Linked DNA regions of Macaca mulatta. The protein of the gene in region 1 purifies or fractionates together with the protein of each later gene. This does not show direct contact. Links are inferred from orthologs where the notes say so. Each region holds a gene or a part of one and is shown on either strand. Other genes may lie near its edges.

The links. Proteins that work in one complex are often made in the same cells at the same time.
Region 2: the proteins of CDH1 (region 1) and CTNNA1 purify together in Homo sapiens (affinity purification with western blotting; 10 studies listed by BioGRID and IntAct, with this or other methods). This does not show direct contact. The link is inferred for Macaca mulatta from reciprocal best matches to the Homo sapiens genes CDH1 and CTNNA1.
Region 3: the proteins of CDH1 (region 1) and SRC purify together in Homo sapiens (affinity purification with western blotting; 5 studies listed by BioGRID and IntAct, with this or other methods). This does not show direct contact. The link is inferred for Macaca mulatta from reciprocal best matches to the Homo sapiens genes CDH1 and SRC.
Region 4: the proteins of CDH1 (region 1) and PLEKHA7 purify together in Homo sapiens (co-immunoprecipitation; 3 studies listed by BioGRID and IntAct, with this or other methods). This does not show direct contact. The link is inferred for Macaca mulatta from reciprocal best matches to the Homo sapiens genes CDH1 and PLEKHA7.
Region 5: the proteins of CDH1 (region 1) and SKP2 purify together in Homo sapiens (affinity purification with western blotting; 3 studies listed by BioGRID and IntAct, with this or other methods). This does not show direct contact. The link is inferred for Macaca mulatta from reciprocal best matches to the Homo sapiens genes CDH1 and SKP2.

Annotation. Positions count from the first base shown.
Region 1 is NC_133425.1:64,333,356-64,338,160, reverse strand, and holds part of CDH1 (cadherin-1), read right to left. Parts: intron 4,501-4,805; 5' UTR 4,299-4,500; coding exon 4,251-4,298; intron 3,407-4,250; coding exon 3,292-3,406; intron 1-3,291.
Region 2 is NC_133411.1:147,787,709-147,792,513, reverse strand, and holds part of CTNNA1 (catenin alpha-1), read right to left. Parts: intron 1,465-4,805; coding exon 1,264-1,464; intron 701-1,263; coding exon 549-700; intron 1-548. UniProt on the Homo sapiens protein: Associates with the cytoplasmic domain of a variety of cadherins. The association of catenins to cadherins produces a complex which is linked to the actin filament network, and which seems to be of primary importance for cadherins cell-adhesion properties.
Region 3 is NC_133415.1:90,252,073-90,256,877, reverse strand, and holds part of SRC (proto-oncogene tyrosine-protein kinase Src), read right to left. Parts: coding exon 4,779-4,805; intron 2,874-4,778; coding exon 2,724-2,873; intron 1,349-2,723; coding exon 1,193-1,348; intron 1-1,192. UniProt on the Homo sapiens protein: Non-receptor protein tyrosine kinase which is activated following engagement of many different classes of cellular receptors including immune response receptors, integrins and other adhesion receptors, receptor protein tyrosine kinases, G protein-coupled receptors as well as cytokine receptors.
Region 4 is NC_133419.1:48,436,481-48,441,285, forward strand, and holds part of PLEKHA7 (pleckstrin homology domain-containing family A member 7), read left to right. Parts: intron 1-797; coding exon 798-908; intron 909-4,805. UniProt on the Homo sapiens protein: Required for zonula adherens biogenesis and maintenance. Acts via its interaction with CAMSAP3, which anchors microtubules at their minus-ends to zonula adherens, leading to the recruitment of KIFC3 kinesin to the junctional site.
Region 5 is NC_133411.1:37,236,968-37,241,772, reverse strand, and holds part of SKP2 (S-phase kinase-associated protein 2), read right to left. Parts: intron 2,315-4,805; coding exon 2,203-2,314; intron 1-2,202. UniProt on the Homo sapiens protein: Substrate recognition component of a SCF (SKP1-CUL1-F-box protein) E3 ubiquitin-protein ligase complex which mediates the ubiquitination and subsequent proteasomal degradation of target proteins involved in cell cycle progression, signal transduction and transcription.

The sequences.
Region 1 (4,805 bases):
CTATGTTACATCCATCCCTTCACTTCCCTGCACTGTCCAAAGAGAGTCAGGCCACATCCCAAGTCTTATCTGGCTTTTAAAATCACAAGCCAGCTCCTGAGATCGAACGTGTGATTTTACCACAAGGGCACTTCCATCCTGGGGCGATTCCACATTGGACTGATACAAGGAGACCCACAGTCCAAAAAAGCCAAAACAAATATTAAATGTCAGGAAAACTGTTATGTGGGGGTGGAGGTCTGTGAACATAAAGGGAACTGAAACCAACCACACCAGAGGCCTGTGGATTCTGTGTGGAGGCTGCCTCTTCCCACTAAACCAGCAGCCCCAGGGTCCCCCCCACCTCCCCCGCGTCTGACCCGTCTCCATCATCATCACCCCCTCTCGGAGGTCCCACACTATCAACACCTCCATTCTCAGCTTACTTCACGCTGGACACTAATTCCCCAAACACCTTTTTTGTTTTTGTTTTTTCAGGTTATTGAGGTGAAAAACAAGGGGAAAAAGGAAGAGAAAAGACCAACTGTGGATCAGATTACAGAATTGCTTTATGCCTCAGTTTCCTTACTTACAAAGTAGGAAGAATAATACTGCCCACGCTCCTAATGTTCTAGTGAAGACTAAATGAGGTAAGATATGTGAAGCACTTGCCCCAGAGTCTGAGGCAAAAGTGAGTATGTGTCACTATTAATTATTATCATATTAGTGTTAATATGTAATAACATTATTGGTCAGACACAGGAGCTTAGAAGGGAGAAATAAAAACCAGACCAACCTACCCTTGGTGCTACCAAGTATCTTGGTGCAGGAAAACAAAATCACCAGCCTTAGCACTGGGCCACGCCAGACACACGCTCAGATACAAGCTCGTTTCTAGCCCCTGCCTTGCTCTCCAAGGCTAGATCAAGCTTGCCTCCCCCAAGAAAACGCTCCTCAATGCCTACTGACATCAAAATATTCAATCCCCAGCACTCTGGGAAGCCAAGGTGGGTGACTCACTTGAGCCCAGGAGTTTTAGATAACTTCTGATCCAATAGAAAGCTCTAGAGCACACAGAGCAAATATACTTCATCAGTCGAGCTGTAGTTTCTCTGTAAAAAACTTCGAATGACTTCCAAGTTCAAAAAAAAATTTAAAGACAACAGCATGATTGCTAAAGATTCATGTGGTCAAAGACCAGAAGAATAGACACAATGGAGGTGTTCCCTCAGGGGAATTGTGGGTGATTTCTCCTTAAAAAAAAATATGCCTTTTATTGTGATATCCAATCAACTAAAATCATGAGAGAGGAGAAAGTGGTTTGATATAAAGTAAGCACTCGGGATTCAGTGAATTCAGAAGAGAAACTAGCCCCTTCCCTTGCTCCCTGGACAACAGTGGAGTGGAACAAAGCAAACTCTAGATTATCACAAAGATAAGCCTAGAAGTACATTGGGTGTATGCATTTTCATCCTGAGTCAGAACTACCATGCTTTTTTTTAAAAAAAAGATAATTATTCCTGGCCAGGCATGGTGGCTTATGCCTGTAATCCCAGCACTTTGGGAAATTGAGTCAGGTGGTCTCCTGAGGTCAGGAGTTCAAGACCAGCCTGGCCAACATGGTGAAACTCCTTCTCTACTAAAAATACAAAAAATTAGCTGGGCATGGTGGTGGGCACCTGTAATCCCAGCTACTCAGGAGGCTGAGGCAGGAGAATCATTTGACCCTGCGAGCCAGAGGTGGCAGTGAGCTGAGATCACACCATTACAACACTCCAGCCTAGGCAACAAGATTAAAACTCTGTCTCAAAAAAAAAAAAATCATTATTTCTTGGGGGAAACAGTACCTGTAACAAGGTATTTTGGTTCAGGCACAGTGTCTCAGGCCTGCAATCCCAGCACTTTGGGAGGCTGAGACAGAAGGATCCTTTGAGCCCAAGAGTTCGACACCAGCCTGGGCAACATGGAGAGACTCCTGTTTCTAAAAAAAATTTATTTTAGTTTATTTTTTGGAACAGAGTCTTGCTCTGTCACCCAGGCTCGAGTGCGGTGGCACTATCTCAGCTCACTGCAACCTCCACCTCCTGGGTTCAAGCAATTCTCCTGCCTCCTCCTGAGTAGCTAGGATTACAGGTGCACGCCACCATGCCCAGCTAATTTTTGTATTTTTTTTAGTAGAGACAGGGTTTCATCATGTTGGCCAGGTTGGTCTCGAACTCCTAACCTTGTGATCCACCCGCCTCGGCCTCCCAAAGTGCTGGGATTACAGGTGTGAGCCACTGCGCCCAGCCTTAAAAAAATGTTAAAATTGGCCGGGCGCAGTGGCTCAAGCCTGTAATCCCAGCACTTTGGGAGGCCGAGACGTGCGGATCACGAGGTCAGGAGATCGAGACCATCCTGGCTAACACGGTGAAACCCCGTCTCTACTAAAAACTACAAAAAACTAGCCGGGCGAGGTGGCGGGCGCCTGTAGTTCCAACTACTCGGGAGGCTGAGGCAGGAAAATGGCGTAAACCCGGGAGGCGGAGTTTGCAGTGAGCTGAGATCCGGCCACTGCACTCCAGCCTGGGCGACAGAGCGAGACTCCGTTTCAAAAAAAAAAAAAGTTAAAATTATCCAGGTATGGTGGCACATGCCTGTGATAACCAGCTACTAGGGAGACTGAGGTGGGAAGGATCACTTGAGCCCAGAGGATGGAGGCTGCAGTAAGCTGTGATTGTGCCACTGCACTCCAGCTTGGGAAACAGAGCAAGACCCTTTTTTTTAAAAAAAAAAAAAAAAAAAAAAAGCTTTAATATCTATAAACAAAAGCCACAGCCCAGTAACCAAGAGAGAGCTGCTCTTCAGTCATCCCAGAGATGGTGCTTAATGGGGCTTGGGAGTCAGGTCCCAGTTCAGATACCTGCTCTGCTGACCCTGGGCAAGTAGACGTCACCCTCTCAGCCTCGGTTTGCTCATCTGTAAAACGGGAATATTCCTGCCGGAGCCTTCCCACCCACCAGGTTTTTGCAGTCTGAAATGGGACACTGTCTCTACAGTGCTGAGGGCAATAAGAGAAATACGAAGGCTTCTAGTAAGTGCCCTCAACCTCTGCTTTTTTATAACATGGTTAACAACCAGGCAGGGCTACCCCCTCCACCAGTGCTCAGTCGTAAACGTTTGGATCCCCAAATCTGTGTAAATTCCAAGGGGTGTCGTTTGAGCCAAGGAGAGAGCTTGCCCATTCCAACCCAGGGGTGTGGGAGTGCAATTTCTCGGCCCCTTTCCAACCCCACCCTACTCCGCCCAGGGACACCGGCGGCGCGCCCTCACCTCTGCCCAGGACGCGTCCTCTCTCCAGGTGCCGCCGGGGCACCGTGAACGTGTAGCTCTCGGCGTCAAAGCCGGGGTGGCAGGGCTCCGGCTCCTGGCAGAGCCAAGACGAGACCTGGGGTGGGGAAAAGGTAGATGGAACCGGGTGACTCGGAGGGTTCCCTCCAGCTCACCGAAACCAACAACGCCGCCCCTCCCTCGCTCCCGGCGTCGGGATTGGGGGAGGACCCCCGCCCCCAACCTCGGGCAGGGCGGGCAGCGACGTCACCCTCCCCCACCCCGAAACCTACGGCCGCCAAGCCCCCAGGAACTCCCGGAAGGGGGCCGCCGAGTCACCCCCTCGAGACCTAGCCCATCGTTCTTTTCGGTCTCCTTTCTCATTTTATTGGAGATGTCTTTATTCTCCCCAACCCCACTTTCCTTAGACCGGGAATGCACCACTCCTTAGAGCGAGGGGCGCTCCCACCTCCCTCGACCCCACTTTCTTATCCCCGGGACTCCCACTTCTATTTACGACCTTTCTTGGCATGGCAGGTGCCTTTATTTCTACGGATGCCCCTCTCCTTCCCTCGAGGATCGTGCCCACGACTCCTGGCTCCCCCTCGACTTGCACCGGGGCTCCCCTTCTCCACACCCCACCCCCCACACCCCGCTCCACGACCCCCGCGCCAGCCCAAGCCCACCCCGCGGACTCGGAAGCCAGACGCCCCCGCCTCGGTCTGCGCTGGAGGGGCAGCAAAGCCGCGCTCGCCCCTCACCACCCACGCCCCACTCCCATCACTGCGGGGTCCGGAGCGCGCGAGGCTTCCAGGCCGCTCGGCTCCTCGGGACCCGAACTTTCTTGGAAGAAGGGAAGCGGTGACTACGGGAGAGGAAGGGGCGCAGGGCTGGGGCGGGGGGCTGGGGCGCAGAGTGTGCGGCCCGGACGCGTCCCTCGCAAGGCAGGGGACCCGAAGTACCTGCAGCAGCAGCAGCAGCGCCGACAGGCTGCGGCTCCAAGGGCCCATGGCTGGCCGGGGACGCCGAGCGAGGGCAGGGGCCGGGTGCGGTCGGATCGGGCCGGGCTGGATCGGGCTGGAGTCCGAACTGACTTCCGCGAGCTCACAGGTGCTTTGCAGTTCCGACGCCACTGAGACTGGGGTGCGCTGCTGCCGCCAGGTGTGCCTCGGAGGGACCGCCCCCCGTACCGCTGATTGGCTGAGGGTTCACCTGCCGGCCACAGCCAATCAGCAGCGCGGACCCCTCCCCCGGACGGAGCTAACGGCCCGCCCCCCCGGCCTCGCGCAGACCCGGTGACCCTCTAGCCTGGAGTTGCTAGGGTCTAGGTGGGTTATGGGACCTGCACGGTTCTGATTCCACTGGGTTCGAATCCCAGCACCGCTGGTGGCTCACTAAGACCTGGGATCAGAAAGGGCTTTTACACTTGGCTGAGTTCTTTTGTTTTTTGGGGTTTGTTTTTGTTTTTGTTTTTTTGTTTGTTTTGGAAATGAGGTCTCACCCTTTCACCCAGGCTG
Region 2 (4,805 bases), on another chromosome or scaffold:
AGATGCCGCAGAGGCCCGTTTCTCCTCTGCCCTTGCTACAGGCCCTCCAGGCATTCTGGCTATGGGGAAAGGGGTTCAGCACTTGGCCATGAGCCTAGGAGCATCACCTGGGGCCACTTCTCCCCGCAACACCCTGGGGTTCCATCATCCTGTCTGCCTGCAGCCTCTCCGAAGAGAGGGGCACTCCATGTGAACAGTAACTTGAATCTGCATTACGAAAAGACTTCCTTCTCTGATACTAGCTTGAGAACCATTATTTTCTATAATTTCCTGCCTAACTCAAACTGAAGCCTCATGTTGTAGAGACTGTTTATCCTAAATTAAATCGTCAACTCAGGCTAGCTCCTCTTCTTGGCCCAAGTTTGGGCTCTAACTTGCAACTAACAGTCATTTTAGACAACATAATTAAATATATCTCATTCTAACAGATTTTAGATTCATGGTTTTAATATACTGCTACCGCATCTGCCGAGTTCTAGAATGACGCATTGCTCAAGTTTAGCAAATGATAAGAAAGAAGCTGTTAAGTCTGAAATGCAGTTACTCACCCTTATCATCAGCACTGCTTTCCTGATGTCCCGGATACCATCATATACCAGGCGGGAGGCATCGATAAACTCATTCTCATCCATTGGCTGGGCAGGGTCCGAGCTGAGGGCTTCCACGGCCGCCTCTACTTGCTCAGTAAAACGTGGCATGACTGTGGAGAAAGGGGCACAGCAGATGTCCTGGTATGCAGGCAGCATCATTCCCCTGACCCTCCCTGAATCACTCAGCTAGACAGAAAGAGGTGAGGCTTATGATGAAGAGCCTCTGCTTCTATCTATGTGAGGAGTATTTATGGTTGAAATAAATGCAGTATTTTACAACAACTCAACAACTCAAATCATCTTTTTCTCTGCAACAGAGGGATTGGATGGTTGAGGGATTGGATGGTTGAGAACTTGGAAGTGAGACTAACTTGAAGCCTTGCTTAAGAATAGGACCTCAGGTTAATAGTTTAACCTGAGGTTAAACTCAGAAATTCATCTTAAATAGTGTGTTTAGAATTAGTCCCATGATTACTCATGAGATACACATGAAGAAAATATGCTTGTGAGGCCTGAATTTGGCTATGACCAACTTCTCAGGAGCCCAATGTGCCATGAGACCAAATCTGAGTTCCCGACTCCTCCTTCCTCACCACAGGGCTGGGCTAATCGGGTGGCCTGCCCTACTCAGGTTGCAGTGTGTGCGAGCACTGAAAAGCTAGAGTTCCCGTACCTGTGTTGGAGAGAAGCTTAGTGGCTTCCAGAACCTTCTCTGTGTAGACTCCAGGCTCATAGTTGTCCATCTCTGAGGTGACTACGTGAATGACCCGGGCTGCCCGGCCTCGAATTGCACCAGCTGTGCGGTCCAGGCCATCCACATCCTTCTCCTGGAGAGCAATGACACATTTGTTCACATCTTCCAAAATGTGATTCTCTGGAGAACAAGCAAAAAGCTGAATGAGGAAGGAGGCCTTCTATGAGAAGGTGGCAACTGTAAGCTGGCATCTATCATTTATTGTTTGCTTGGTGCCAGCCACAGTGCTGAAAGCTTTACATATATTTCATTGGAGAGACCAGTGACTAGTGACAGAGACAGAAACTAAACCTGTTATCACCCTCAAGAATAACAATCTTCATTCCAGGCTTTAAAAATAAAACAAAATAAAACAAAAAACAGGAGACATGCCCATCTTTGAGACACAGTTGTTCTGTAAGCCTGGCAGAAAATCACAGAAGCATCAATAACTTCTCTTCCTCTAGCTTCACTGACCCTGTGTCCCAAATAAAGGAAAGGCTAAATTAGAACAAAAGTCCACTGTCCGCTCTCCCTCTCCCTCCAGGAGATGCTGATGATATTCAGACAATCTACCAAGAAGCCAGTACAGCCCAGGGATAGGAGAAGGTGCTGGAAAGCAGGTTGAAGCCTTCTCTAGAGGAGCCTGAGGCATGAGATGAACTATTTAATAACCCTCTTCATGGTACACAGATGGGCTTATTGTGATATTTGAAGGGTCCCTAGAGGTGAAAACCCCTGACTCCTATGAAGCTGATGGGTGGCTCCTAACAGTCACACAGCTGAATTTGGGCAAAACACCACAACTATTTTTCCTCAAAGGAAAAAGCCTGACACTATACATTTTTAGGAACCCCACCACAAAGAGTTTGCTCAAACTCATCTATAATAACAACGTGGAAGCAAACCAAGAGAAGAGTGGATAAGTGAATTATGGGAACTATGCAGCCATTAAAGTGCATATCTGGAGGCTGAGGCAGGAGGATGGCTTGAACCCAGGAGGCAGAGGTTGCAGTAAGCCGAGATTACGCCGCTGCACTCCAGCCTGGGCAACAGAGTGAGACTCCGTCTCAAAAACAAAAACCAAAACAAACAAAAAATACCTTTCCAGAGAAGGCCAGGAAATAGTAAGAATTCTTATTAGAGAAGGGAAAACTAGATTACTGCAATATAGTTAAGACCATATTTTGATCTCTATTAATTACAGATTATGAGACTTGCCAGGGTTTATACCAATGAACTAATGAAAGAGTAAACATATTAAACTTCTAACATAAACACATTTTAAGAGGGACATTTAAACCAATTACAAGAATAAACGGATTTGGAGCCCATCACAAGCATTTCTGAAGTATATAAACTCTAATAATTCAAACTAAAAAATGTACTGAGCAGGCCAACCATACAAGGTCTTGGGTTAAAAATTGTTGCTTTTACTGGATCTAACACGATACCATTAAGATGAAACTTGCATTGCTAAGGAAAAGAAAGGAATAAAATGGAAAGTGTGTTGATAACAAAACTAAGAACCAATATTTTCTCATATCATTGATTTTAAGACTCATCCCTGTTTCAGAATCAATGAAGTATGGCATTCCTTCCCGTTCATTAAACAAAGTGACCCAAACTTCTACCAAGGATTTTTTAACCTTTGTCTAGATACATCTATTTTTTTTTTTTTTTTAAATCCATCTAGACTTTCTTGAATTCATCCTGGCCTTCTTCTAGATGAACCTAAACCAGGAAAGGGTACGCCATTTTTTAGAGTAACATTCCCCACTTCAGGAAGCTGAACAAAGTAATATTCTCTACCCTCATGAAACACTTGTCTCTAGGAAAGCCCCAGCCTCGCTGAGGCTGCCGCCCAGGACAGAGCACCCAGCCTCCTCTCCACAACTGAACCTGATGCGGGGAGGTGCGAGTCCACTGTTTAACGGAGGGGGACAGGCTGTGCCCACACTAACTGAAACCATAAATCATTTTAGCTAAGGAAACAGCATAGGTCCACTATGAGTAGATACACAAATCTGTACCCATGAACAGCTGTCCAACACATGATTTATAGGTGTGCTTCTAATAGAAAAAAATCATACACACACACACACCAGTCCATATAAAATATGGACAACTATATGTAAATGAATATAAAAGGAATTATATTATGGACACTATTGTATCTTTTTCACTTGAAAACCTTTCTAGGTATGGCCCTACAGATCTACCTCATCCATTTTAATGGCTGCATAGTACCCTACTGAAGAGATGGAGGGGCTATAATTCACTTATTCAATCTTCCCTTAGACATTCTGGTTGAAGAAAACATCCCTCTACAGGTATTTTGGCAAACATTTGCGACACTCCCCTAGAGAAAATGTCTAGCAATGAGATCGCTGAGTTAAAAGGTATATATGTTTAAAGTAGAAGTATGGTACCTAATTGCCCTCCAGGAACGATGCCGATTGGCATTCTCCATAAGAGATGTCAGAACTTCAGTCTACAATGTGTAGCGATAGAGCCTCTTCTTTGTACCCTCTGCCCTGGGTATCTTTATAGCAAGCAGCGTATGCAGGGCTGCTGCACACAAAGAAAATGAAAACGATGTTTCATACTTTATGTAGAGGATTTACCCTGTGACATGAACTATTCTGAGGGCTTGCCATGTAAACTCTATGTAGTAGGCTTAAAAAGGAAAAAAAAAAATCACCGGCCAGGTGATTTCTGATTACATGGTGGCTCATGCCTGTAATCCCAGCACTTTGGGAGGCTGAGACGGACAGATCACAAGGTCAGGAGATCGGGACCATTCTGGCCAACATGGTAAAACCCCATCTCTACTGAAAATACAGAAATTAGGTGGGTGTGGTGGCAGGTGCCTGTAATCCCAGCTACTCAGGAGGCTGAGGCAGGAGAATCGCTTGAACCCGGGAGGTGGAGACTGCAGTGAGCCAAGATCACGCCACTGCAGTCCAGCCTGGCAACAGAGTGAGACTCCGTCTCAAAAAAAAAAAAATCACCACTAATCTAACTTCACCACTTCCTCCAAAGACAGAAACTCTGTCTATAGTTTAGCATTTCTGCTATTAAACACAAAACCAACATTTAGGTACAGTAATCTTTCTATTTAATGACCTCCCAATCAGACCAAATATTTTGGACACACTGACACTTAATGAAGGAGAGTGCAAATTACCACTCCAAGTGTTGCTCCAAAGCATTTAATGCATTATATTGTTTCTAAGAGCATTTAGTAAAAAATTTAATAAACCCAATTACAGCTTCTCTAAACAATCACTTGCATCTTCAAAAAAAGGGAGCCAAAACTGCAACATGTAAGCAGAGTGAGAGAATGGAAATCAATAACATTTCCATGGAAAATGTTTATCAAATACAATCCAAGTGAAATTCAAAGAGTCTCTATCACTTTGATGAATTTCAAACCACTCTCCTTAAGGGATTGGTCAATATAAATATATTCTTGGTTT
Region 3 (4,805 bases), on another chromosome or scaffold:
CTCTGGGGGAAGCTGTATTCTAGACCAGCATGTTTAATCCAGGTTCTTGTGCCAGCAGGACTCAAGGTTCCTTTGCTGTGTGACCTTGGGCCCATTCCTCCCAGTCACTGGGCCTCTCTCCGAGGGTTAGGGCTCAGGCCCACCTCTGTGGTCCTCCTGGCTCAAGCCATCTGCATGTGGCACTTCATGAGTCGACCTGGAGCACCCAGGGAGGAAGTGAGGCCCTTCCCAGGGTCATCACCACTCACCGAAGCCAGAAATGAGTTTTGCAGCCACCAGAATGGCTGACGCTGTGCATTCACCCAGGTTTCGCTCAAGTCCTCACTTTGTGGCTGTGCTCACACCCTGGCTTCTCACCCCTCTCCCCTCTCACCAGCTCAAAGCCCACGCCTCCCCCTTCCAGACGGCCTGACCTCCAGCCTCCAGGCCTCTGTCCCTGCAGTGCCTTCCACCCAGGAGGCCTCTCTGCTGTCCTCCATCAGGACTCTGGAGGGTGGAGAGTGGAGGCAGTGGGACTGAGCGGAGATGCGGCTCAGATGAAACCACCTTGAAAACAGCACACCGTGATCCCCGCTAGCACCATGGGCTTACGGGCTTACAAGTGCTGTCCCACCTCCACCCTGGCCTCTGGTCCCTCTGTGTGAGCAGAAAGCAACCGGTGGACAAGGGGCCTGGGTTTTGTCAGGGCTGCACGGTTCTTATGCTTTGCTGTTTCTCCAGGGTTAGACAGGAAATCACTAACAGGCTCAGACCATGCCAGAACTAAGCTTCCCAGCACCTCCTCCCACGAGCCAGGCTTCTCTCTCCATGGCTAACAGCTGGTGTGTGGACAATGCACTGGGCCAGGGCCTCCACAGCCTCCCATAGGTCCCACTGTCACCAGCCCCATTCATAGTCAGGAAGACTGAGACTCCGAGTGAGGCCACCGGGCCCAGCCTACACAGCAGGTCTGTGCAATGCCCAGCCCTGTGCGGATCTTGGAATCAGGTGCTATGGTTTACACGGTCTGGGGCACAGCACTTGGGGGGCCACATCCCAACTCGGTGCCAGCCACCGCTGGGGGGCTCCAGATTTACAACAGGGCCCCGTCGTCCAGCAGAGGCAGCTAAAGGCAAAGGGACCAACAGAGCCCAGAGCTGCCACACGGGGTGGGGGATGGATGCCTCTCCCGAGGGCAGGGGCCAGGCCTTACCCATCCACACCTCGCCAAAGCAGCCCTGGCCCAGCTTGACCTCCAGCCGCAGCGACTCCCGAGGGATCTCCCAGGCATCCTTGGCGAGGCCCTGAGTCTGAGGCTTGGATGTGGGGCACACAGTGGTGAGGCGGTGGCACAGGCCATCGGCGTGTTCTGAGGAGGAGGCAAGAGGAGCAGTTAGGGGGGGCTTCTGCCCTGGGGCCTCCCTGCCCCTCAGTGTGTGTCACCCTACATGCCAGATGCACGCAGATTTCAGGAGACACCCAGGGCACCCTCAAAGCCAGGCATCTACATCTATGTGCACACAGTCCCACCCCCACACAGGCCCACAATGCTTTATGCATCTGCTGAGTCAGTCATTCAGCAGACAGTAGGGGGTGCCAGGGACCCTGCGGGGAACAAGTCCAGGGAATCTACCCTCAGGAACTCGGAGTCCAGGGAGGAGCCTCAATTCCCTAATCACCTCCCAGGACCACAGACATGAATGTGACTGGAGGAGAGCTGTTCGCGCAACAGCAGGAGGGTCCTGGGAGGCTTCCTGGAGGAAGCAGCAACTGAGCTTGGATGTGCAGGAGGGTGAGGGGTTAAGCAGGGAAGAGCCCTCCAGGCAGGGGCACAGCCAGAGCAAAGGCTCTGAGGAAAGAATAGCTGCAGGGCTGAAGAAGCAGAGGCAAAAGGAGCTGCAGGGAGCAGGTGGGGAAGGGCGGCACCAGGCGGAGGTGGGGAGGCAGCTGGGATTAGACCACTCGGGGGCTGGTGGGGGTCTTTATCCCAAGATTCCAAGACAGCCCCTGGAGAGTTCTGATCTGAGGGAACGGGGTTCAGCATGAGCCACACAGCGGTGGCCAAAGAGACAAGAGCATGGTGGGTGATCCCAGAGGAAGTCAGGAGGCCGAGCTGAGAGGAGGAGGAGACTTGGGGTGGGAAGTGGACGAACACCTGCACACAGAGGCCACGCGTGCCACAGACACATGGGCACACAGGCACCCATAGGCACCCACAGGCCCCGACACTGCAGTCAGCTCCAGACGCCCAGGTGGGTGGGCTACAGCACTGCGCCCACGCCCGAGCCCTCACCCAGCACGCAAGCCCCGCGAGCTCCCTCTGCCGCTCTCTCCGTCTCTGCTGCAATCGATCTGGCCGCCCCCTCCTCCTCTCCCAGCAACCGGTTCAGACCGGTCCTAGGGCTACATAGACAAACGACACCAGCCTCCGTCCCCTCCCTTCCAGCTCACTCTTGGGCTCCTCAGGGCAGCCCCCTCCATACCAGCCAGCTGCAGAGCAGGAGCAGGGAGAGACGGGGACTGGGAGGAGCGGGTCGGGGGAAAGAAGAGGAAGAAGAAGGAGACGGAGGAAAGTAGGGAAAACGGAGGAGAGAGGAAGGGAAGGGGGAGGGAGAAAGTGGGGAGGGGAGCAGGAAACCTGGCATCACAGGATAACAGAAGACCCCACCCTTCTAGGCTCCAAAGCCCCTCCCCAGGGTCTGCAGCTGAGGCTCTGCCCCCCCCGCCCTCCGAGGCTGGCTCACTGGAGTAGTAGGCCACCAGCTGCTGCAGGCTGTTGAACTGGGTGCGGGAGGTGATGTAGAAGCCGCCGCTGTCCAGCTTGCGGATCTTGTAGTGCTTCACGTTGAGGCCCTTGGCGTTGTCGAAGTCGGACACTGAGAGGCAGTAGGCACCTGCGGGGCACAGAGGGGAGCCGTGACCGCCACGCCCTCTCTCCCGCAGGCCGCAGCACTCAGCGCTGCTCTGGACACCGTTCTGTGCCTGCCTGACATTGGAGGGAAGGGAGGCCCAGGCGGGGCCCCCGGCCCACCCTGTCTCTCAACAGCCAGCCCCGGGGCAGCCACAGAGGTAGGGCCAAGGGACCCAAGAGACACTTGATTGGAACGTCCTGCCACGCACCCTTGGCCCCAGCAAGACCCCCATATCTCAGGTGGGCATCCTAGCTATGGAACTTGGAGGGGTTGCTGGCTCTCTCTGGGCCTCAGTTTCCTCCTCTGCACAATGCGGGTGCTCCCAGGGCTGCTGGGGAGATTCCATGCCACCACATATAAAAGGGCCAGGCACACAGTAGGCACTCAATAACTGTTTGCTGGGAGCCTGTGAGTGGCTCCCTGTTGCTGTGTGGCCCTGGCCTAACTGCTTTCCCTCTCTGGATCGGCTCACGGGGGCACTGTCCGTGTCCCCCCCCCACCTCCTTTCTGAAGACAGGCCCAGGGTCAGGCGGGAGGGGGTGGTTGGCAGAGGCTGGCTGTCGTGGGCAGGAGACCACTGGCTGGGTGTGGCCTGAAGGCTGCCTGGGTCAAGCAGGGCCAGCCCTGGTGCCTCCCCTCTTTCTCTTGAGCCTAGAAAAGCTTTTGGCCAGAAAAGTTTCCTCCCATCCAGCAGGCCCAGGTAGCACCAGAGGCCAAGAGACGCCCAAATGGCATCAGGGAACAAGGCTGAGCCCTGGAGGCAAGGGCAGAGGCTCCAGCGGCCAGGAACCACCTTCCCAGGAGCCTGGCCAGGCAGTGCATAGGCATGGGGGAAGCCCAGCCCTCCTAGCCCACAGACCTCCCCTTTGCAATCTTCAGGAGGAGGTTATGATCCCAGCGTACAGAAGAAATGAGGTCCAGAGAGGTGAGTGGCCAGCCTGGGGTCACCCGGCAAGCCAGAGACAGGGCTGGGGCTCAAACCCACACCCGAGGACTCAAAACCTGCCTTGGGCGACCGTGATTTTCTACGGACGGCCTGGCTGGTGCATGTGGAAGCCACAGGCCTGAGACTGAAGCCAACCCTGGCCATATGTGCATACACATACAGGCATGCCCGTGCCCAGTGGCCACATGCTCATACAGGTACACGCTCCCCAGGCCCTCGGGCACCAGACAAACCACAACAGTCCATTCCCACACAGCGACACACAGACAATTCCACCCCACATGCACACACACACACACGCCCAGACGTACACACAGCATGCACACCCGCACACGGCCGCACAACTGTACGTAAATGCACGGCTCGACATGGATGCTCTGCTCCCCATCTCCCGCTGAGCCCCAGGCCCACAGGAAGCAGCCCAGCTTGGTTGCCATGGTGATGGGCGCCTGCAACCCACTCTCAGAGGGGCTGGAGAGAAAGGGGATGGTCTTCATTCTCTGGCTCAGGGGAGGGACATGAGAGGGGCAGGGATCAGGACTGCGGTTGGGGGAGGGCAAAGCCAGCCTCCAGAATCCAGTGCAGCCCAGGGACCCCTGGGGAAGGGGAAGAAGCAGGGCTCTTTGTAGCAGCACCTACCCTGGGAACAAGCCTGTTACTGTGTGACACTCAGAAAAACCTCCAGACAACCTATGCCCATCTTTCATTTGAGAAAACTGAGGCCAGAGAGGCTAAGCCTCATCTTTCTCTGGACATCTGGCCACCGCAGGTTACTCAGCGTTCCTCAAATGCACCTCCCTGACTTTGATCCTGCCGTTACCTCCACCTGGAAGGCTCTTCCCTCCCTACTCCACAAACCAAACTCCTGCTCATTCCTCAACACTCAGCTCAAACCACTCACAGAAGACTCAGTATCCATTGGCCAACGAGAGTGCTCGTACCTTTTGTGGTCTCACTTTCTCGCACGA
Region 4 (4,805 bases), on another chromosome or scaffold:
GGGAAGTGGCATGATTCGGTTTGTGTTTTTAGAACGATCACTGTGAGGAGATTGGATTGTAGGTGGCCACTGCAGGGGGAGGCAGGAGAGCAGCTGAGGCTGTTGCCCTTGTCCATGCAGGAGTTAGCAGTGGCTTGCCTGAGGGTGGTAGCACAGTAGTGGTCACATTCAGGCTATGTTTAGGAAGTAGGCTCTTCATGCCTTCATGATGGACTGAATAAAGTCTGTGAGAGAAAGAGAAGAGGCAAAGATGACTCCTCAGGGCTCGAGCACCTGAGTGGATAGCATTCATATTGTTGAGATGGGAAGAGCCGGTTTGGGGTGGAGGAGAATCATGAGATCTTGTTTTGCCATCTTACATTTGAGATATGAGTATGTCAGAGAGTGTGATCTGAAGCTTGGTGGGGAGAGAGGATGGAAGAGACCCACTGGGCATAATATATGTTATTCGAGACCATGGGATTAGATGAAATCCCCTCGGAAGAGAGTACAGACAGAAGACCGATGTTCTGAGCCTTTGGGTGGTCAAAGCAGTGTTTAGAGGGGAGAGAGGTGAAGCCAGCAAGGAGACTGAAAAGGACTGAGAAGGTGGGAGAAACCCCAGGAGAATGCAGGGTCACAGAAGTCTTAAAGGACAAAAGCTGACTGGAGTAGGTGGAAGATAAAATACGGGGTGAAGACAGGGAGTCAGTTAGGCAAATCTTCCAGGTAGTTTTGTTGCAAAGTGGCGTTGAGACATTAGCTGGTAACTGGAGAGGATGTGGGTTTGAGGGAGGGTTTTCCTTTCTTTTTTTTAGTGGAAGATTGTACAGCATGTTTTGTTTTGATGGGAATGATCCCATGGAGAGGGAGAAGTCGATGCTGCAGGAAAGAGAGTGGGCAGTTGCTGGAGCAGTGTTTTTAAGAAGGTAAGAGGGATGGGATCCATGGCTCGCATCTCACTGGCCTCACCCAGGGGCAGGGCCCATCATTCATTTGACAGGAGGAAGGGCTGCAAGTGTTCCAAAGTACCAGGTACAACCTTGGACTGGGTGTGTGAGGCCATGTGTGGGACTGTGGAGGCTGGAGCACAGCCTTCCACACCTTTGCTGACTCTTCCATGGTAACTTGTCTGTGAGGTCCCTAATGATTTTCCTACAGTGAGCTCCCATGCCCCCAGGGCCTTGGATCTTCCAGGCCTAGGGAAAGCAATGTGTGACAGTGTTCCCTACCCTCAAAGGCAGGGCCCTGTGGCAGATGATTGTACTTTGGACCTCCTTCTGTAACAATTTTTTGAGAGACTTAAGGGTTTTGGGAGTAATTGTTCTCTCCCTCATCCCCCGCCCCCCACATAAAAAAATGTTTTCCTGACAAATGTTTGTCTGATTTCTTAGCTTTGCCGTGAGCATTTCTGAATGTTTGATTTTTGTGTTGAGGGCAGGAGCCTCCTGTAACTGGCTCATAGAGTGAGAGGGACAAAGCATTGACACAGCTGATTTTATTTTTCCTAATGGATCCTTGCACAGGAAAGTTGTGTGAGTTTTTACAGGATGTATTCAGTTGTTCCTCATATTTAGCAGATTAAAAAATTTTAATTTTTGAAAAAATTGTAAGAAACAGAATCTTCCTCTGTCTCCTAGTCTGGAATACAGTGGTGCAGTCATAGCTCACTGCAGCCTTGAACTCCTGGGGCCAAGTGATCCTCTCACTTCAGCCTCCCAAGTAGCTGGAACTACAGATGCAGGCCACCATGACTGGCCAGCAAATGTTTTAATACTCTCCAGAGTCCATTTCTTTTCTTTCTTTCTGTCTTTTTTTTTTTTTTTTTTTTTTTTAAAGACAGCATTGCTCTGTCACCCAGGCTGTAGTGCAGTGGCATGATCTCAGCTCACTGCAACCTCTGCCTCTTGGGTTCAAGTGAGTCTCATGCCTCGGCCACCCCCAAAGTAGCTGGGACTACAGGTGTGCACCACCATGACTGGCTAATTTTTGCATTTTTAGTAGAGACGGGGTTTCACCATGTTGGCCAGGCTAGTCTCAAACTCCTGACCTCAAGTGATCCGCCTGCCTCAGCCTCCCAAAGTGCTGGGATTATAGGCATGAGTCACTGCACCTAGCCTCAGAATCCCTTTCTTGAAGCAGAAAAGCTTGAGCTTAGGCAGGTGAATTTTAGTTTTGATTTCTGTACTTTTTGTTCAGTTTTGCATTAATGAGGGACAAAATATATAAGAAATCTACTGCTGATTCTCCCAGTTCTAGACTAAAGGATGTTGATAGCCCCTTTAAAAAGATTTTTTTGGCTGGGTATAGTGGCTCATGCCTGCAGTTCCAGCACTTTGGGAGGCAGAGGCAAGGGGATCACTTGAGGCCAGGAGTTTAGGATCAGCCTGGGCAACACAGAGAGACCTCATCTGTACAAAAAATGAAAAAATTAACGGTGGTATGCTCGTGTAATCCTAGCAACTTGAGAGGCTTAAGTGTGAGGATTGCTTGAGCCCAGAAGTCTGAGGTTACCATGAGCTATGATTGTGATACTGTACTCCAGCCTGGATGACAGAGTGAGACCCTGTCTCTAAATAAATAAGTAAATAAATGACTTTTTGTACTCCAGCACTTCTCTACTATGAATCCCTCAGCTGGGTAGCAAGGTATAATAGTAATTTTGATAATAGTGTCATTAACAGAAGTAGCAATAATAGTAGTGATAATTATGTAACAGCCTAATCTTTTTGAGTCTTTGAAAAATGGTAGGAACTGTTCTGTAACTATCATTGATTTAATTCTCACAATAGTTTGATGAGGTAGCAACTATTACTAGTTCCGTTTTACAGACATAGAATCTTGCAGTAATCCTGGACATTCCTAGAGCAGATGGTTTTTTCCTTGTGTCTTTTCTTATTTGATCTTTGTAACAGCCCCTGGAGGCAGGAGGGGAGGAATCATCCCCATTCTTCAGATGATGAAACTCAGGTCCATGAAGGTTCAGTGATTTTGCTGAAGTGTTTGAGCTGAGACTAGAATATAAGTCTTCAGTCCCTCGTGTGATAGCCACAGTAGTAGTGGTGGCTCCCACCCCAGGCCATGCATCTTGAAGGAGATGGATGCCCATATGCCATTGCTCTGAGTTAGGCTTCCCCAAGGCTCATGGGGCCAGACCCCATCTTTGCTTTTTCTGGGGACTGAGGTACTTTGGAAGGGCAGTATCCCTTGCTCTCCTATGCTGATTAGTGGTGGTACATGTCTCTGATTAGTAAGAAATTGAAGACATTGATTATTAGTAAATACAATTTGGCAGACACAGCTTTTTAAAACATGGGACCTATGAGGGAGAAGTTTCTAGAAGAGAACATGGGAGTTAGAGTATTACACTGGGCTGCTCTTCAGTGGTTTCATGGAACCTTGTGAACTGTGTTCCCCCTACAGCAGATGTTCAGTAGGTCGTGAGGCAATGAGGAGATGTCAGAGAAGAGGGGCTCAGCCACCTTGCCTGTGCCAAGGCTGTTCCTTGAAGGCAGGCATCTTATTCCCCACTTCTGAGACTTAGGCACCCAGCGCAGGGCTGGGAGCTGAGTAGGCACTTGATATATCTTGAGCAAGCAGTGTTTTAAAGAGACCCAATGAGTTTTCTAGGTATTACAGGTCTTGGAAAACTCCTTACTGGGAAGGAGATTGGGGTGGAGGAGAATGAGTAAGGTGAAAGAAGCTCAACAGCCACAAACAGGCCTGTCAAGGCTGGTGCCTAGACCCAGGCTTCTTGGATACAGTCAGTTGCTGTTGAGAACAATGCTCAAAGCTGGCCAGTGGAGGCTCAGTGGCCTCCTTTGCGTCTTCATCTCATATCCTTATTGCTCTGCATCTGGGACTGGGACCTATTGGCTACTGGACTAGGCTATCTTCCTTCTCTGGCTGCTGGGCCCTTGGCATCCTCTGTGACTTGGCACAAGGGTACTGGCAGGAACCAGCTAATTGCTGCACAAGACCCTTTCTAGCTTCAAGTTTCTCAGTTTTAGCTTTGGGGTTGTGTGGAGCCACCTTGTGTAGGTACTGTCTCTTTGTGGGTACCTGTCCCTAAGTGAGGACAGCTAGACTCTGGGAAAGTCACTTTTGAGGCTTGCAGTAAGGCTAACTTTCCCCTCCCCTAGGACCTGAAGCACGTCCTAGCGACAGGACTGGCTACATAATTTGCAGAGCCTAAGTGTAAAATGAAAATGCAAGGCTCCTTATTCAAAAAGAAGGAAAAAGTATTAGCTTGGTGCAAATGTAATTGTGGTTAGTGCCATTACTTTTGATGGTAAAAACTGCAATTACTTTTGCACCAACTGAATATCTTTAGGCCGGGTGTGGTGGTTCACACCGGTAATCCCAGCACTTTGGCCAAAGTAGGAGGATTGCTTGAGCTCAGGAGTTTGAGACTAGCCTGGGCAACATGGTAAAACCCCATCTTTACAAAAAATACAAAACTTAGCCGGTGTGATGGCGCATGGCTATAGTCCCAGCTACTAGGGAGGCTGAGGTGGGAGGATCACTTGAGCCTGGGAAGCGGAGGTTGCCGTGAACTGAGCTCATGCCACTGCACTCCAGCCTGGGTGACAGAATGAGACTCTGTCTCAAAAAAATAAAAAATAAAAAATAAATCATCTTTAAAGATACTAAAATATAAAATTTTGTTATTCTGTAGTTTTTCCCTTGACGTCATTTTTTTAAAAAATTGCTATTTATGGGCATGGTGGTGGGCACCTGTAATCCCAGCTACTTGGGAGGCTGAGCCAGGAGGAACACTTGAACCCAGGAGGTGGAGGTTGCAGTGAGCCAAGATTGCGCCATTG
Region 5 (4,805 bases), on another chromosome or scaffold:
ATACACATATGTATATGTATGTGTATATATGTGTGTGTATGAACTAATGAGAAATAAGGGAAAAATATAACTTAGATTATAGATGGTGTTTCTAAAACAAAAGGGACGTTCAAAAAAGGTACTGAATACCACAATAAGAGGGTTTTAATACCCATAGTTGAATTCAATTTAAAAAAATAAAATGACAAGCACATGAAGGAACATTTTAAATGCTTAGGTGTACTAGAATTTTCTAATAGTGCTTGAAATAAGTGGACCACTGGCCAGAGTTATGAAATAATTTCATCATAAAAAAATTGTCAGTGTGTGATTTGACCTCTATCAATAAAAAGGTGGACTGTAGATAAGATATCCTTAAGAGAGTGGCACACTTTTGTATCTTCTTGACCAGACAGAAATCCATTTTGGCCTCCAAGGTATTAACACGAGATCAGCACTGCTCTGGTTGTCTTGAATCTCATGCTTGATGTTTCCTCTTGCAAGAAGGCAAACCATAGCTTAACCAGCATTCAATAACAATCTGGGAAAAGTTTTGGAACAATTCGTTTTCTTTACAAATCATATACATTTTTTAGGAAGATGAACATCTCACAGAAAAAATGAATTCGGGAGCTACCTAAACCCCAAGCCAAGCATAACCAGATATGGTATGATGGTAATGACTGTGGAGTTAGCCAGACTTTAGTTTCCTGCCTTTCCACTTATCTCTCAACCTACTATTCCTGACCCTGCAGTTTCTTCATCTCTGAAGCTGAGATGACACAAACACCATCACTTAAAATCATATAGAGGATTAAACTGCAAACACTGCACTGTCACATAGCAAGTGCTTAATAAATGTCAGTTATTATTTTTATGACAACTGAGATGAAAAGTTTAACAGACTCTAGGGGAGATGTAGATCAAAGAATACTAAGCCACAGATATGCAGGATGAACACAACCCAAGATATAGTGTACAACAGGAAGACTAGAGTTGATAATACTGTATTGTAGTCAGAATTTTTGCTATAAGAGTAAATTTTAGGTGCTTTTGCCACAAAAAAAAGGGGTAACTATGTGAGATAATGAATATGTTAATGTACTTGATTATAGTAGCCATTTCACATACATATAACAAAATATGCTGTATACCTTAAATATATACAATAAAATTTTTAAATGGGATTAACAGACTCTGCAAGAAGAGGACAAATGCATAGCTGGCAGAAAAAGAAAACCAAAGTGGGGTTCCTTGAGCACGGTGAGGGTACATGAAACTTGCCTGCCACTTGCACCAGCATTCCAGGTGTGCAAACCTCTCTGCGGCTCTTCTAAGCAAACAACCCACACCTGTAAATACCAGCACACCCTTGATGGCAAGAGCCTCCTGCTATCTCACACAGGGAGTTCTAAGTATGTGGAGGGAGAAGCCAGACGGATGGCCTTTAAACACAAAGCAAAGAATGACCAGGGGGTAGGATAGGGATGAGAAGGCATGACGATAGTAAAAAGTTCCAGTTCATAAACATAGCCTTTTTCTTGCTCCAGGCCTGTATTGCCTTTCCAGCTCACCAAGTCTTTCCACATGCAACTCACCTTCCACACTTCAAAAGTGTTGCCACAAAAAAAGGCACAACCCCACCAATGGCTACTCTGTGCGGAACATGTCTGTGAGTCAGGCATTACACCGGCATCTTCACATTTCATCCTCATAACCAATGGTTTCCTCCTCATAACCATTATCCCCATTTACATATGGGCAGACTGAAGCTCAGCATTGTCAAGTAACTCGCTCAGGTCATGCAGAGCGTAAGCAGCAGAGGCTGGGTGTGCACTCGGGTCTAACACCAAGTCTGCGTTCCCTCTCCCCATTGTGCTTACTGCTCAGCCCAACAGCGTGAGGAATCGCTGTCTGCATGCACCTCTGTAACTCCCTCTGCACTTAAAGCACACCGCCTGGCCTACAGTCAGCATCCAATAAACACATGCTGCACTGAATACAGGGCAAAGAGGTTTCCAGACATTGGTAAGTTTACCCCTTCCAGGAAATTCCTCTTCCACTGTGAAATGAGGACACTTATTAATAAAAATATGAAGATACCTAGTTTGCTTTGTGCTGCTCTATTTTTCTTGGGTTTTAGTTTCATGAGACCAAAACAAATAAATAACTTTCCTCTCCTCTTCCTCCCCTACGTATGCCAAAGGGGTGAAAAATACTTACGCTAGGCGATACCACCTCTTACAAACACCAGAGACCTTTAGTAGCTCAGGGAGGCACAGACAGGAAAAGATCCCCAAGAGCAGCTCATCCGGAAGGGAGTCCCATGAAACACCTTTGGAGGGAAAACAAGTGTTTGCCATCACCATTCTTTTACCCTACCAAGTCTACTGAGTCTTTCCAATCACATAAAAAATATACAACATTTAGCTTAAATGGGGAATTTAGCACAAATGAAATTACTCATCCTCACAATTATTTTTGTCTGAAAACTTTGTTGAACAGAAAAATAATCGTGGTGATGAGTAATTTCATTCGTGCTAAATTCCCCATTCCATCGTCTATGTACCCTGAAGTGACCACCACACTCTCTCAGCAAATGAAAAAGAGAAAACCAACAACACTTTTCCTATTCTTCTTCTCTTCAGCTCTAGCCAGCCAATCAGAGGCTGGGGCATGAACAGTGGTGCAGAGCAAGTCCCACCCTCTCAAATGTCATTCAATGATGTTGTCAATTCATTGACATCAATAAGATATTGTGGTGCTTCTGGGTGCAAAGGAAGGCCTTGTTTCTCTCTGATGTGGATTCAGTGGTGACCTTATTTAAAAGGCAAATAAATCTTCTTCCCTTTCTGATATGGTTTGGCTGTGTCCCCACCCAAATCTCATCTTGAATTGTAGTTCCCATAATCTCCATGTGTTGCGGGAGGGACCCAGTGGGAGGTAATCAAATTATGGGGACGATTACCCGGTGATAACCGCCCCTGTAATTTGATGCTGTTCTGGTGATAAGTGAGTTCTCACAAGATCTTATGGTTTTATAAGGGGCTTTCCCAACCCCTTCACTCTGCACTTCCTGATGCTGCCATGTGCAGAAGGACATGTTTGCTTCCCCTTCCGCCATGCTTGTAAGTTTCCTGAGGCCTCCTCAACCAGGCTGAACTGTGAGTCAATTAAACTTCTTTCTTTTATGAATTACCCAGTCTTGGGTATGTCTTTATTAGCAGCATGAGAACAGACTATACTTTCTTTCAGGTTTACAAAAAGCAGTTTACCTAAAAGAGCAATACAAAAGGGTGCTGTCATTTCTTAATTCAACAAATATTTACTGAGCTCCTACTATGGTGCCAGGTATCATTTTAGGTGTTGGGAAGGAGTAGTAAATCAGACCCAAAACACTATCTTCATGGGACTTCATTCCAGTAATGGGGAACAGACAATCACACATCAAAAAATAATTACATTATATGATATAGTAAAATTGATCTGTGCTGTGCAGAAAAATTAAACAGGGCAAGGAAGAGAACAGAGAGTTCAGGGCAGATGTTATTAAGTTTGAACACGGTGGTCAGAGAAGGCCGTACTGAGATGATGATCACTAAGCAAAGCCTTCAACAAAGTGAGGGAGTGAGCCCTGTGAGTATCTGGGATGTGTTCTGGATGCAAGGAACAGCATGTGTGTTTTGAGGCATAGCCAGGAGGCCAGTGTAGAGCAGTAGAGTGAGCAAGGTGGGTGGGTAGAAATCAGAGAGCAGCCAGGTCATGCAGGCTTCCTATGTCATGATAAAGGCCTTTGCCTTTGACACTGAATTCGATGAAGTGCCACTAGAAGATTCTGAGCACAGGAGTGACAGGCTCTCAGGTAAGTTCAAAAAGGATCACTCTGGCTGCTGTGTCTAGAACAGGAGAAAGGTGGATGCAGGAAAAGCAGTTTTCTTTCATAGAAGCAATCTCTAAATATTCAACAAGTATGAAACTCTTACATATGAATACACAGAACAATCCCACAAGGTCAGGATAATATAACAATTGCCAAGAAGGAAATAAATGCACGATGAAGAAATCCTAAAAAATGGTCAGATGAGTTCAATGACTGCCTTCCTCGGCTTTCCACCTCTGATGGATCTTCTACAACAACTGTGGTGATATTCTCTCCTCCCACTAGCATTTAAAGGTGCCAGTCTTTACTGAGCATGTCCTTTGTACCAGGCCCTGTGTAAGGGGTTTGAGGATATGAGGGAGAAAAGCACCGAGGAGTGTGACAAACACCTGCTGCCCCGGGCAGTCTTTTTAAACCATCATGTCTTTCTCTCAGTTGGAATTCTTCAGTGGTACACTCCAGGTATTTAGGCTAAAGTCCACAATGCTTAATACAAAGTTAAAGGCTTTTAGCCAGGTCCCAACTAGTTTTTCTAGGTTCGTTATCTAGAAATGTGTTCCAGCCATTTGGAGCTACCTGTAATTCTTACAATGAGTCATTCAGTGTCGTATCTCAATGCCTCTGCACATGCTTGCTTGCCTCCAACTACTATTCATTTAAAATCAAATGGAAGCCCCAGTTCCTACAGAAAGCCTCCCATGACATCAACAAGGACAGGCCACTTATGTACCATAATTTCATTATTTACTTACTCATCTCTCTGGACTCCCAGAAGCTCTTGAGAACCCCCCCCCTTTTTTTTTTTTTTAACAATTTTTGTATTTTCAGGAACTAGCATAAAGTTGATACATTCATCCACTCCCATATTTATAAAATCTGTACTATACACTGAGGTCTATTCTAGGTTTTAAGGATACAATGACAAATAAGGCACAATCCTGACCCT